Kluyveromyces lactis: one gene and its partner. The protein of the gene in region 2 purifies or fractionates together with the protein of the main gene of each other region. This does not show direct contact. Links are inferred from orthologs where the notes say so. Each region holds a gene or a part of one and is shown on either strand. Other genes may lie near its edges.

The links. Proteins that work in one complex are often made in the same cells at the same time.
Region 1: the proteins of MAM33 (region 2) and PET20 purify together in Saccharomyces cerevisiae (affinity purification with mass spectrometry; 3 studies listed by BioGRID). This does not show direct contact. The link is inferred for Kluyveromyces lactis from reciprocal best matches to the Saccharomyces cerevisiae genes MAM33 and PET20.

The regions. Positions count from the first base shown.
Region 1 is NC_006040.1:515,907-522,968, reverse strand, and holds PET20 (Pet20p), read right to left. Parts: upstream 2,888-7,062; coding exon 2,138-2,887; downstream 1-2,137. Other genes in the region: leucine--tRNA ligase CDC60, read left to right, coding at 1-489; KLLA0_D06083g (uncharacterized protein), read left to right, coding at 1,404-1,754; MGL2 (putative carboxylic ester hydrolase), read left to right, coding at 3,612-4,934; AIM44 (Aim44p), read right to left, coding at 5,153-6,931. UniProt on the Saccharomyces cerevisiae protein: Required for respiratory growth, stability of the mitochondrial genome and for proper assembly or maintenance of mitochondrial proteins.
Region 2 is NC_006039.1:670,909-678,191, forward strand, and holds MAM33 (Mam33p), read right to left. Parts: upstream 4,018-7,283; coding exon 3,238-4,017; downstream 1-3,237. Other genes in the region: PCI8 (Pci8p), read right to left, coding at 1-586; MRX1 (Mrx1p), read left to right, coding at 715-2,868; tyrosine protein phosphatase PTP3, read left to right, coding at 5,807-7,283. UniProt on the Saccharomyces cerevisiae protein: Not known. Binds to the sorting sequence of cytochrome b2.

The sequences.
Region 1 (7,062 bases), on a different chromosome or scaffold from region 2:
GCTTTGAAAAAGAAGAAGGGTAAGGGTTCTGACGTTGATGCTTCAAAGCCAGCTAAGTTGACCTTGTACATTATTGAGACTTTCCCAGAATGGCAAACTAAGTACATCGATTTGGTGCGTGAATTATTCGAAAACCAAACTTTGGACGACAACAAGGTTGTCAAGACTAAGGTCGATCCAAAGGACATGAAGCGTGCTATGCCATTCATCTCCTTACTAAAACAAAGATTAACCACTGAATCACCAGAATCTGTCTTCACAAGAGACTTACTATTCAACGAAATCGAAACTGTAAAGTCTACATTCGATATTTTGAAGAAGTCTTCTCAATCAATCAAGATTTCCGAATACGAAATTCTCTCGTTACCATACGGCTCAGAAACCGCCAAGAACGTATTTACTAATGAAGAAGTTACGATTCAAAAGAGCAAAGCCATTGAAAACGCTATTCCAGGTGAACCAGCTATCTTGATCAAGAACGTCGAATAGAGATAGATAAAAATAAATTAACAATAACAAAATAATTAATCACACAAACAACATTTAGAAGATGACCCCATAGGCATCTGTTATATAGAAAGATAGAAACGGTACCGATGTCAAACAACCTGTAATGTGAATTTTCTCTGTAACCGTTTTGTATATTCTGTTTTCAACCAAATTTAATTGCTTACTCAGTTAGAAATTCCAACCCACGCCAAAATCGGAGTTAAATGCTTCTTCATCTGTGTCTTTTCTCGGAGTTTTGAACAGATATACCATGTAAGAGAAGAAAAAAACCTTGTTACCCGCGCTGAAATACCCCGGAATTAATTCGTTTTCAGTTTTCCATTGGAGAGAGAGCCAAATAGAGCACAGGTTTTCGTCGCTCGAGTCCCGGTCTTCGCGGTGTCTCGGATAAACTAAGGGCTTTTGTGTGTTGTATTAGAGCCCCAATTCCGTCAGTTGTTTCGAATATTATTCGCTGAAGATAAGACAAGGTGACAAATCTCTGGAAAAGCCTCTGGAACGAAACGAGAAGCTGGGAATTTGTACGAATCGTTTATGCTGTGTTTGCTGTTCAGTTTTCCAATATGATGTAATTTTTGGCGTGGGAGAAATGCGACAAAACTTCAGAGATGTTTTCTTTTGAGTCAGTCGATTTCTATGGACTTTCACAGTAGTGGCATATATACGTTTCTGTTGGCAACTCCGCTATTTTGAAGGAAGTTATAGGTCGACGCATGGGAACTACCTGATGCATATGTCATATATATATATATATATATATGTGTGTGTATCTGATGCAGTTTCGAAAATACCGGGCCACCACATATTTTTATCCAGGTTTCTGTAGAATAGAGGATTTGGTTCGATTATCTTGTCATTGAGGCAGCAAGTGGTAGGGAAAGCTTGATCTCTCAATGGGCTGGCACGATTCTGTATCACTACAACTTGTAAAAGAGGATTGCGATAAAGTGTTTGCAGAATATTTTAACGATGCAGAACAGTTCATAGTGTATAGTCGGCAGCAGGATTTTGATCTCGATACATGTATGGAACTATGTGATACAATAGAGACGTTGAACGGTTCAACATTGGAAACCAGGAACGATATGCTTAGTGCACAATTCGATTTTAGAACGAAATTGGAGAATTATGAAGCACTCCCGTCCTTCGAAACTGTTGAAAAGATAATACACCATAGCTATAGCGGCAACAGTTGTAGCGAAGCTAAAAACTCAAAGAAATCTTCAAAGATTAATGACGTTTAAGAATTGGGAAAGGGAACATACAAAGTGGAAATGCTGGTCGGATCGTTTCATTGCTGAAAGATGTCATAATTTTTTGACTCCTGTAAAAGATTCCATACATATTTTAGTTTCCAGAAGTAAAAGGCGAAATTATTTGTGTTTGTTAAATCGTATGCATTAGATATATATACTATATATGAATCGTGAAATACAGGGAAGAAAAATTGGAAATATTATAGTGTTAACTTAGAAAGTAGTCCTTCAGGGGTATGGTGAGTCCCTGGAATGATTTTAACGAAAAGAGGGAGAGAGAGAGATTCTAATAATTGTTTATCGTTAGCCCAAATAAAAAGAATCTCGAGAAAATGTCAAGAATCAACTTGGCATTCCAAAGATTTCAATTCTCATTCTTTCTCGAATTTGCGTTTCAGATCCAATAACCTGATTATGGGCTTCTTTCTTCCTCGCTTACGATTTATTAATTTGTCTTGTTCATTCAGTAATATTTGCTTTTGTAACTTTTCCTTGGCTTCTTTATTTTTTGCATTGTTTGTTTCTTCAATACTTGGTGGATGGAACGGTTTCAAATCTTTGATAATCTCTGATGGTACATTATCCCATTCGCTGAAAAATTCTTGTCCCGTGGCACTTGATACCCAGGGTACAGGTTCACTAAGCTTTTCTAATTTCATGGCAAACTGCATCAATTTGTTCTCCTTTGCGTTCTTATCCCCAACAACGATGGGTCTATAACCAGAATATAACATATCCGAGTTGAACTCTTCTCTTAATATATGTTCGGTGGTTGGTACTCTTGGTAACCATGAATAATCTCTAGATAACTTCTTCGTGGCCATTTTTATGATCTTCTCCTCTGAATCCTTACCTAATTCCGCAGAAGGAGAAGAAGAGGCAGATGCCGAACTTTCTTGCTTACCTTCAAGCTTCATCGAATCCACAAGATCGCCGTCCTCCTTACGTTTTGATCGTTTACTCTTGAGCTTCGATTGCTTCAAGTTCTGCTTTTGTAACATCTGATTATTTTGGAAGTTGACAGAACTCTGGTTCCTTACACCATTTATAAGTGATACCGCAGATATGCGATTTTTCACGTATATAGAGCGTGAACCGAGACGTACATTGCTGAACATCATTGTAATTATATGTGCCTCGATATAGAAGTATCCTTCTATCTTTCACTGAGGGAAAACCAACAAGGAGTAAACAGATTCCAGATTTTCCAATAAACAACTCGTAGCAACACCTAAAAAAACAGCTCGCTTCAAAAGTCTCTAACCCTTTGACAGTGGTGATCGATCTAGTAAAACTAATAGCAACCTTGACGTAGATGTTAATGTTCTGCTATCAGCACGTTATTTGTTGTATATCGCTGTTGTATTCTCGTGAGGATAAACCTCTCGTTAAATGGGTTGATTATTAAAAGTGAAAATCAGGTATCTTTATTTTCAAATTTCTTTTCAGTTTCCGGAACCTGTAGATGTGTGTCATAGGTAACGATTATATTACATAATTTTTGTCCAAAATACTAATAAACAAGTGACTTTAGGCTATATGTTTGTAGCCGTGGCAACGCTTAATTACCCATAGAGCATCTGATTCCAACGTGTAGCGATTTCTTTTACCAACGATTGCTCGCATGTCAATTGTGTGTTTTTTTTTTTTCTATCTAGAATTGTCTTCATCTGACCTTACGTATTTTATCTTATAATGGGTTTTTGAAGAAAGAAAAGTAAACCTTAATGCTATCGGTCTTTAACATTATGGTAGTTATTCATGGATTAATGTAATAGAAAGAAGGTACATTAGAAAAGAGGATCAATAACAGTGTTTGAGTGTTAGAGAGCTTTTCAGCTACTAATGGTATTGGGAGAATTATATTCGTTATTACCGTGGGTTCAAACTGTACAGCAGTTCTTACCTGATGAGCTGTTACAATTTAACAGCGAACCAGGCAAAACTGCAAAAAGTGTCAGCATTAAATCATTAATTGACAAATATGCACCGGAGTTCCAACATAATAGCAAGTGTGTGATTCCACCTTTTCTTTGCAGTGGTCATATGCAGACGATTTTTGCTTCGATGTTCACTTTCGAATCGAAACATTTGGTTTATTATAAGAGATATATTCTCAATTATCCAGACGGCGGTGAAGGTGCACTAGATGTGTGTGTTCCCCAATCGTTATGGAAAGAGACTGGTTACGTTCCCAAAAATCAGAGAAATCAACTGCTTCCGAGGTATACCTATTTTGATGCTGATGAAAAGTTCGGATCGTCTGATACAAAGCCGATGCTCATTATATTACATGGGTTGACAGGTGGTTCTAACGAAAGTTATGTCAGATCTTTAGTTGACACCATCACGAACGAGTACAATTTTGAAGCCTGCGTCTTAAATAGCCGTGGGTGCTGCCAATCAAGCATTACGACACCATTTTTGTATTGTGGGCTATGGACTGATGATGTAAGGTTTTGCGTGAAGGAATTGAGGAACAAGTTTCCTAATAGAAAATTCTTTTTATGTGGGGTCTCTTTAGGGGCAAGTATGACGGCCAATTATCTGGGACAAGAATCCGATCAATCAGACGTAGAATTAGGTGTTGTGTTGGGAAATCCATGGGATTTAACGGCATCATCTTATCATTTGGAAAGAAACTTGATAGGGAAATACGCCTACACTCCAGCGTTAGCGAAAAATTTAGTTAAACTAACGACATCTCATCTTGATGTTTTGAAGCAAAATCCTGAAATGGCGCGTATGTACGCCGACCACCTACATGAAGTGAAAACAGTGGAAGAATTCGATAACTTTTTTACGGCTAGAATGTTTGGATTCAATACGTCTTTTGAATATTACAGGCACGGTACGAGTTCGAACAGATTAAACAAGTTGAGAACTCCATTACTGATTCTGAATGCCTTAGATGATCCTATTGTTGGATGTGAAGCGCTACCATATCGTGAAGTCCAAAGTAATCCGTACACCTTAATGTTAACAACTACAAGGGGAGGTCACATTGGATGGTTTGACATGAACTTGGACAGGTGGTACGTGAAACCGTTGTGCAGATTGCTTCATAAATTTTATACAGACATTTCAATGCAAGGTCTCGCACCCGATCTTAAATCTGTTGACCTGCCTAAAGAGAATAAATTCAAAAATGATAGAATCATCAGATAAAGTTAATTAAACAACCCTGTCTATATCTGACTCTATCTGTTGAGAACTAGAAATGCGATAAATATGAACAACAAACGTGGTTATCTTAATATGAATATATAGGAATCAATGATGTTGTAATGCTAATGAGGGGAGGTGGAAGAAGGGAGTTATGTCCAGGAAAAATATGTCAATAATAAATGGGCTCTCTCCTAATGCTAATGTATTGAAATGAGATATCAGATGCTGATACCTACAGGTAATGTTAGATTTCTCCGAACACCGGCTTTCACAGAGGTTTGGAAATTAGCTAATGACGAAAAGCTTTCGCGTAAACTCTGTGGAACAACTGCTGGTGTACTTCTCGAGGAATCAGTTAGAGTGTCGAACTCATGAGGGGAGTCACATTCTGACATGGAGTCATTTTCTGTTTGTGCGTCGTTATTCGAAAAGATAGCATCGCTTTCATAGTCTGTGACAATGGCGTCAAGCAATTCTTTGTAAGTATGGTGATCTTGTGAAGCTTGGAACTTCGCGACTTGCAATCTCATCAAAATTCTTTGTGAGATAACTGCACGAAGGTAAGAATCCCAAGCCTTATTTGCATTCAGAATTTTGACAGATTCACTCAATGATTCCATTGAGGCAGACGAACTCATAGCGTCTTCGAAGACAGAATCACCATCATGTAAGGATGATGTAATAGATCCCATCTCTGACTTTAGTGGTTGCATCTTTTGTGTATCGATAATATATTCATCTTCGTCTTCTTCGTCTTCGTCTTCTTCTCTAATACAATAATCGTCATGATCGAATTGAGAAAGTGGTATCACCTTATTTTTAACAACGATGGAAGGTTGTCTTACCGCTAAGTTTAAATTTAGAGAAGGTTGAGACCTAACTAAACGGGTTGAATCAGTTCTTCCGACGGAAGAATTACTTCTAGAAAAAATAAGTGAATTACTGCTCGTAAGGATCGATGCTGCACGCTTAATAGAGGATGGAGTTCTCCTCAATGAACGATGGTTGATGTTGGAGGAATGCTTGACAATCGGGGTATTCTTTATATCCAATCCAGATGGAACGGTTGGAGAGGATGTATCAGAGTAAGAAGCCATTGATCTCATCGATTGTGACCTCTTAATATTTGCGAAATACCCGTTTGAACGAAGTAAATGTGATGTTGTCCTCTTATCAGACTTTGCGAAATGACGTTGTTTGTACGTAAAGAGTTTGCGTTTTAGAGCCAGGTGGAACTTCTTAAGGTTTAATCTTACACGTTTACCGAGCTTAGTGAAATAGTGTAAGAGTCCACCTTTGCATCTTATCGCATTTGATCTTTTTATATTCGACCTTCTTGACACAGTCGAAGTTGATCTTTTGACTGATGATTTCCGTTTCTCACTTAAGTTCGTGGCGTTTCGCGTTTTCGTAGACGGCGTACTACGCTTCTTTAGCATTGCAGTGGAGTTACCAGATGACAGTGTGAACTGGAAAGAAATATTGTCGGCAGTCGGCAAAGTGAAATCAGAGGTAACCGTAGAATATGCTTCTGGTATGCATTGCATATCAAAGTTACCATCCAATGGCCTGCCAAATTCAGGTGAGTTTGTGGGACATATTCTAGGTGTTCTGTCCGGTGCCAGTGTTCCAGGATAATGCACTGAAGAACCGGAAGATGATATATATGAGTACCTGTTGTTTCCAATTGCACAAGCTGTGTTCTTGACAGCAGACAACTTGTCAGGATTAGTCGTATTATCAGATATGTTAGCAAATGAGTAGTATCCATTAGATGAGTTACCGGAGTTGGAATTTGTCGTGGTATAGTCAGATAAATGCTGGGAGTGAATATCGTCTTCTGGCTTCTTATTCAATTGCTCGTTTAGTAGATGATGGTTGTTTAAACCATGTTCTGGCAATTTAAGATGAGCCAAAACTTCAACATCTGGGAACCTAAATTCTGATTGAGATCCATTATAGGACTTGGTTTTGGTTCTTGTGGGAGTTCTGATCATTTATTCGGTAATTCAGTATTTACCAGCTAGAGTATTCGATGATAACAGTATTGCACGTAATTTTGAGTAACGCTTTTAAGATATTTTACGAAGCTTGCACCAGGAAAGGTTACGCAAGTGGCTCATGATGA
Region 2 (7,283 bases):
GTTCTTCTAAATGAATGAATGTGTCCAAATTATCTAGGGGAATTGACACTAATGCAGATACAGTGATGATGTAAAACATTGTTTCATTCGATATAAAGATATCATCTTTTGGAAGAGTTACCATTAGCTCCACCAAGTTTGGTATGTCGATGATTAGTTGAATGAACCTTTGTAAACACTGATGATATTCCCCCCTTAGGAACCAATTTAAAATCAATAATAACTTGCACTCGATGAAATCCGCTAATTCCGTTGGCTCAGAAGTAATGGGTTGGGTATTGAGCCTAGATTCAAAATCAATCACTGCTTTATAATGAGAATTTAGAATATGAGTTCTAATCAGGAGTTTGGTCCGTTTGAAAACACCCACTGAGCTCATAGAAACATCACTATTGATAAATATTATGGATTCAGCGTATTTATTATCAAGTAGCATAGATACTAGTTTTTGTTCCCAGGCAGGAAATCGCTTTGAAACAACACTCCAGGTTTTGAGCTCTCTACTTTCATTGTAATTTGGATATTTGGATCTGAAATGACGATCTTGAAGCACTGCCAACGGATAAAATAGCCTACCTTGTGTCATATATAATGCAATATTCTATCAAAAACAGCCCCAAAACATGTAAAAAATGCAATCGCAAACAATGCTAACTCTTTTTCAGAGGCTTTGATGTTATTCTAGTACTACTCACCTTGTTGGTCTTTTTAATTATGTCTCGTGTGATGCAGCTTACACTGTTTCTTGTTCTCGTTCAGATATGGCTGTTTTGCATATTATGTCAATTTTTCCAATATGATTCTGTAGTAGGAAAAATATTAATCACGGTCGAATCTTTGAGTACAACCTCATCGCAGACACCTCAAGAGCAGTTTAGACAGGATAGTCAGTCAGCAAGCATCAGAATCTGTATGTCGATAGGTCGAACAGTTATACATGTGCCATGTGCGCAGCGCTTTGTTAGGGCATTTCATGCTACGCGGGTACCTTACGGCTCACCGTTGAAGGTTAAGTTGGACCTTCTGCAGAAGACACAGACACTTGTGAAGCGAACAGAGAAGGAAAATGGAAAGCAGAGGGATATCGCTCGAAGGGAAGCACGCAAAGCTCGGAAGTACGGATATTCCATTAAGAAAGCGAATGAAATCTTAAAAGGGAGACACAAAATTACTAATCTTGATAAGTCTATCAAAGTAGGACCAACTTCGGACGATGATACGAGCATTCTTTCTGTCGCTAACGATAAAAGATTAATGTATACTATACTAGGTATATCTAGACCTCAACTAAAAAATTCAATATTGGTGGAACGCGATGTTGCGAAATTTTGTAAGAGAGGCCAGTTGCAAAAGGCTTTATTTCTTATAAAGCTTGCTGGACCAAATGGTGCAGCTGGAATGAACACATTAATGACACATTATCTAGAAGTTGAAAAAGATAGCCATTCCGCTGTGGATTTATATTCTTGGAGAAAGAAGTGGCAAATACCTCCCAATGAATACACTGAAACAAATTTGTTCAAAGGGTTGGCAAGGTTGCCAGAACCAATTTCTGTCAAAGTTGCAGAACGAGTGGTGAAGATAGTTTTAAAATTGGTTGAAGATGAAAGACTCAATAATATAAATTTTAACGCTGCATTAAGTGCGTTGGCGAACTCTAACGACCCTAGTTACCTGTTCAAATGTTTTGATTTGAGACCCAAAGGTATAAAAAAAGATGCAATTGCGTACACGCAACTACTTATTGGATGTGCGAAGATTACAGATGCAGTGGAAGCCATTCAAAGGGCTGATGATATAATGAACTCTGCTGACCCCAAAGTTATCGATTCACAAATGTTTTTTCATTATTTGAACGTTTGGCACTCTAGAAGGGATCTACGATTTTCCAATTGTGTGTTGCCTCTGCTTGATATATTCTATGATTTTAAGGTCCCAAATGTTCGTTTCAAGAAAGAAATACCAGAATTTGTCAAGTTGCCTGCTTTGAAGAATTGGAATATCAAATCTAAAATGCGTTTGACTCCCCATGTTGCACATCTTTTAATGGAAAATTGCTTTAAGACCGGACAATACGAATATGGTATCGCTTTCTTCGAGCATTACCTGGGAAAAAGACCAAACCTTTTCAACAACAGAACAATAAACGCTGCGTTGAACTTAATTATCAAAGCAGATCCGGAGAACTGTGGAGAGAGATGTTATGAGCTACTTCGTAAGATGATGGATGATGGTATGTTGCGGGAACCCTTACAGCACGTCGTTTTAACTTATAAAGCATTTGAAAGACAGGCTACTAAAAAGCTAAACAACAGTGATCCTGTAAAGGCGACAGAACTTGTAAAATCATGTCTTGCACTTATGAAGGACAATGAAGCAAAGACTTCGATTCAAAATGATGAGTACAAGAGCTATTTATCCTGGAAACCATGGATGTTCTTATTGAGAATTGTTATGTCATGCAAAGACGCGTTACCTTTGACTTTCAAGAAAACGATAATAGACGAGTTCATTACCACAATGCTCTGTGATCCAGTAATGTTGTTGAAGCAGAGAGGAAGCACTCGAGAGAGTATGCGTTTTGTTTATCTTGAAGCTGTACGTTTTATAAAATCATTGGAATCATCTTTGAATTTAACCGATGAAGAACTAAAGGAAGTGCAAGCTGAAGCGGAAGATTCAAATTCTTTACTTAAAAGAAAATTTTTGTTTCGTAGGCATCTAATAAGATTAAGAAAGAGAATCCTAGAGGTTGTGGATAACCTAGAACATGATAGGGATTCTAACAGCCCCGAAATCGAAAAATTGTTTAGACAATATTGTGAAACAATATTGGACACCAACATTGATGACTTTTCACCAACATAATTGAGATGCCTCCTGTACATACTAAACCAATGAAAAAGGCATCTCACTTGGAGGCTTGTCTTTTGCTGGCTCTGCATTTCAATAATTAAACTATTGCAAACGGTGTAATAATCAAAGGTACCAATGGAAAAGACGATAGGTACATTATAACAGATATTACATAGAGCGATATATAATGTACAAATTTGCCTTAAAAATCCATAATAAAAAAGGTAAGAGAAAAATTATGTATATACAAGAGAAATGTTGATAGAGGGATCATAAAGCTCAGTGATCAGTAGTGAAGTAAAACCACCAAGAGGCAGAATTGTTTTTGAATGAACAAATACTTCTGTCTTTAGTCATATTGAAAAAGAGTTATTGTTGCAATTACTCGAAGAACTTCTTCATTTTCGACAACCATTGAATGTATTCATTATTCTCCTTGAACTCAGAGTAATTAGAAATGAATGAAGTTAAATCGGTGGTGATACCTCTGGATTCCAAGTAAGATTCCAAGGACTCTTGCAAAGATTCATCCAAGTTAGAGAATGGAGGACCGTGGTATCCCAATTCTCTCTTGATTTCGGCTTCTGCTGATTCATTCAAAGCATCTTCTGCTGATTCGTATGGGGTAACGGAATCGACGTAGAAAGAACCTTCTTGCATGTTCATCAAAAGCTCAAATGAAATTGCTGTGTTGTCGGAGTTCTTCACAACGACAATGTTGACATTGGCAAAGTTATCAGACATACTATCGAAATCTTCCTCCAATTGTTCTTCAGATTGTTCTAAAGCAGCTGGTTCGACAGGCAAGTTAGCAACTTGAGCAACGTCAAAGAAGACATTGATAGTTTCATCGTTCAATTGTCTTCTAATGTGAGCCAAGTTACGGCCTTCTTGAACGACAGGCTCAAAACCGTACTTGGACAGGAAAGTAGCCAATTCTTCTGGCAAGTCGACAATTTGTTGAGAAGTTTCTAATTCGACTTCGCTGTTTAAAACTTGAGCAACCTTCGTAGTATGTTGGTTGAAAGTGGTAGCAGTATAGGAGAGTTGACGGGAAGATGTGATAAAGGTTGGACGAGCAATCACATTTCTGGCCACCTGGATGGAAGCTGGACGAGCAGCAACACGGGAGGCAACACGGGTAATCAAACGTAGGGACATAGTATTCTATCAGGGGAGGGGGCTTATCCTATAGGACTGGTTTGTTTTAACCCTTAAATTTGGATCAAATAAGCTAGCTCATCGCTTGAAATATCACAGTTCAATATAAGAGCTTATAATCTTTCCAGAATTCTTTTTCCTTTCAGCTCTCGATCCTAGAGTGTGGCAAAAAGAAAGTATATCAGGGTAATGAGGTGGATGCCCTTTTCATATTTACCCGCACGTTCAGCGTCACGTGAATGAGTAAAGTGTAAACAAGCCAATAAAAGAGGTAAAGACGCCATCCGGGTACAAATTGCTCGAACAGTTCTAAGGGCGGACCCTGGTACAGATACAGTGCGTTGACTTCTAGGCGTACGTAATTTTCGCTTTTCGTTTTGTGAGTAGTGGTAGCCTTTAGTTTCCGAGTTATTTCACTACGTTAATTTCTTCGTTTCAGCTTGCAGAAAGATGTTCGAGACCCGAGTCCATTTCTATTGAAAATTCTTTTCTTTTGTGAGGGAAGCGAACTTTCGAACCGTTTTGGTCACTGCTTTCCGTGCTAACATTCTGGATCAAAAGTACGAAATTTTTCGAGCCTTAGTCCCATGGTAACTCTCGCATTACTATTTGACAAATGAACGTTTACTGATCAGAGTGTGTTTAGGGCAGAGAGGTAATGTCCGTTTCGACCGTAGTCTCGAACCGGAACAATGATCAACGCCTTGGTTTTCCCGAGAAAATTCGTGTTCGTTTTTGCAAGAGCACGGAGGACAACATTCATTGTCAGTTCTAAGAAAGAAAAAAAAGCCAGTTGCAAATAATTGTAACGACGTAATTTACTGCGCAAAAGAGCCCCATCTATGATTATGCTCATGATTGAAATTTATTCCCAGGATTTTGCTGTGGTGTGTTATGCAGCCATCTGCAATTCTTCTATTAAACTACTTTTCACAAGTTGAAGAGTACAAGTCCAAGAACATACTCTCAGACTAGTACCCAGGGGATCTAGATCTTTTGACTATTAGCATATTTTTCGGTCCTTATTATACCGTTCTTTCGGCTCTACTGTTGATTTCTAGATTTGTGTCTTTTTTTTTGTTCATACATTTCACAAAGCAACAGAGTGTCGTAATTAACCATAGAAACTGCTTCTTCATCCGTGATATCCTTGTAACATGTCTTGACAATTTGCGGTTCTTATTCAACAAGAGATGAGTATTGCTTGGTAAAATTGCAATCGGCATGAGGGTGTAAATAGTTTAGAAGATTTATCGCATATTTTTCTGAGTCCTTTGTTTTCAGTACCTTTCTGCCTACATAAGGTGTCTTTTCAGGTAATTTCCTACAGATGAAAAGTAATCTAATTAAGTAGCAAGGTGTCTGGTTCAACCAACGAAGTGGGCATTACTATATCACATATGCATTTATGTAATTCGACCGTATATCACGTGGATGTGCGTGCTAATTGTTGTTGTTGTTGTTTTTTTTTCCATTGGATATGTTTCTCGAATGCATGCATCTGTGTATCCTTATGCAATCCTCTTCTCAATATCTTTTTTAGAATTTCTTTTCTTTTCGGTCAAGTGTTTTCTAATTCGTAATTTCTAGGTCTAGTGCATTATTGAACCAAATAGAACAGCTTCCAACATCTTCAGCTATCTTTTAACTTTGTTCGAATCACTGCTTTAACGAAGACACCAAATAAGAACCTATACCAAGACAAAACTGTCAAATTAAGCATACAGAAAGAAAGTACTTTGTTAGTAATAGGGTGTCAAATCTAATCTATTTATAATTTCGAAGAGAAATGGAGTATATAGACACGATGGGCACCAACAAACAACAGGAAGAAATCCAACTCAAAGAACCTCTTTCGTTTTCAAGGCCTCTCGCTAGACCACCATCGATATCTGGATGTACAGAGTATAAAGATCGTGATTCAATTCAGAGCAGCTCATTCACATCGGAAAGTTCATCAGTTCTAAGTTCGTCATCCACTTTGATCGATGATAAATCGTCGAATTCATCGTTAGCATCTCCTGCCCTGAGCGCAAATTACAAAAGAAATTCAACGGAGGTACTGCCCGAAAAGATTCTGATACATGCGTCGACTTTCCCTTCAGCATCTGAACCTTCGTATAGTACATGTACACCTTCACCGTTGTCAGCATCTCATAGAAGTTCCCTTTCGTTTTCACGGAGTAGATCGCGGAGCATAGCAATGAAGTCCAATAGCTTGCCCGCTATTCCAACAATATGTCCAAAAGATCTCCGATTTCCTAAACATAAAGACTGCTCGTTTATTAGCCCTGCGGACTTGCACCATTATATTGAAAATATGGACCAGAATCCCAATGAAAAACTGATAATATTCGATACAAGGCCGTTCATAGAGTTCAACAAAAATCACATCAGATCGGCAATGCACTTGTGTCTTCCCTCGACTTTACTGAAAAGGAAAAACTTCAATCTGGAAAGGTTGATAGGTAATCTACCTTCCCCAGGAAGGGAAACTTTATCGGAATATTTATTGGGCAGTGACAGCGCCACTGCAAATGCCAAGGTGGTTATTTACGATAATGTGGCAAACCAGACAGATTATGCAGTATCATTGGCATGTTTCGGAATATCTTCTAAGATCCTCGATCATGTAAGTGACAAACAAAAGCCTTCTGTTTTCATTCTCGCAGAAGGTTTTGAATCATTTAATGCAGCATATCCTGATGACGTCGAAGTTGGTACCATGGATTTGGAAGACTCTTATACCTTAGATTCCCCATCTTCCCCTCATCAGGCAGACAATATTTCTCCAGTTCAACCGCAGTTGAAACACTCTGGTAGATCTCATTCGCATTCTTGTTCTCCTTTGAAACAGCCACCACAAACCGGTAACAGTAGGACTCTATCTGGTTCCCCAATATCCACATCATCACCATTATCATCTTTGTTTGGATTTAAACTGCCGGCACCGATAAATAATCAACATTTACCAACTTTTAAGTTACCGCAGATTGAGCATGACATTTCCGATCTAGATAATTATGTGAAGGCCGTAGAGATCAATGAACGCTCTCAAAGAAATTCTTTCTTAGAATCAGAAAATGACCTAAGATCCTTCAAATTTCCTGCTTCACCGTCCAAACAGTTCAGTACCGATGCGACTTCGTCATCATTTACTTCAACTCAAACAGCATTATCGCCAGCAGATCCTTCTAGTGGCCACAATTCATCTAAACTAAATTTCCAAGTTAAATATGATAACCTATACCACAGATTTGCTTCAG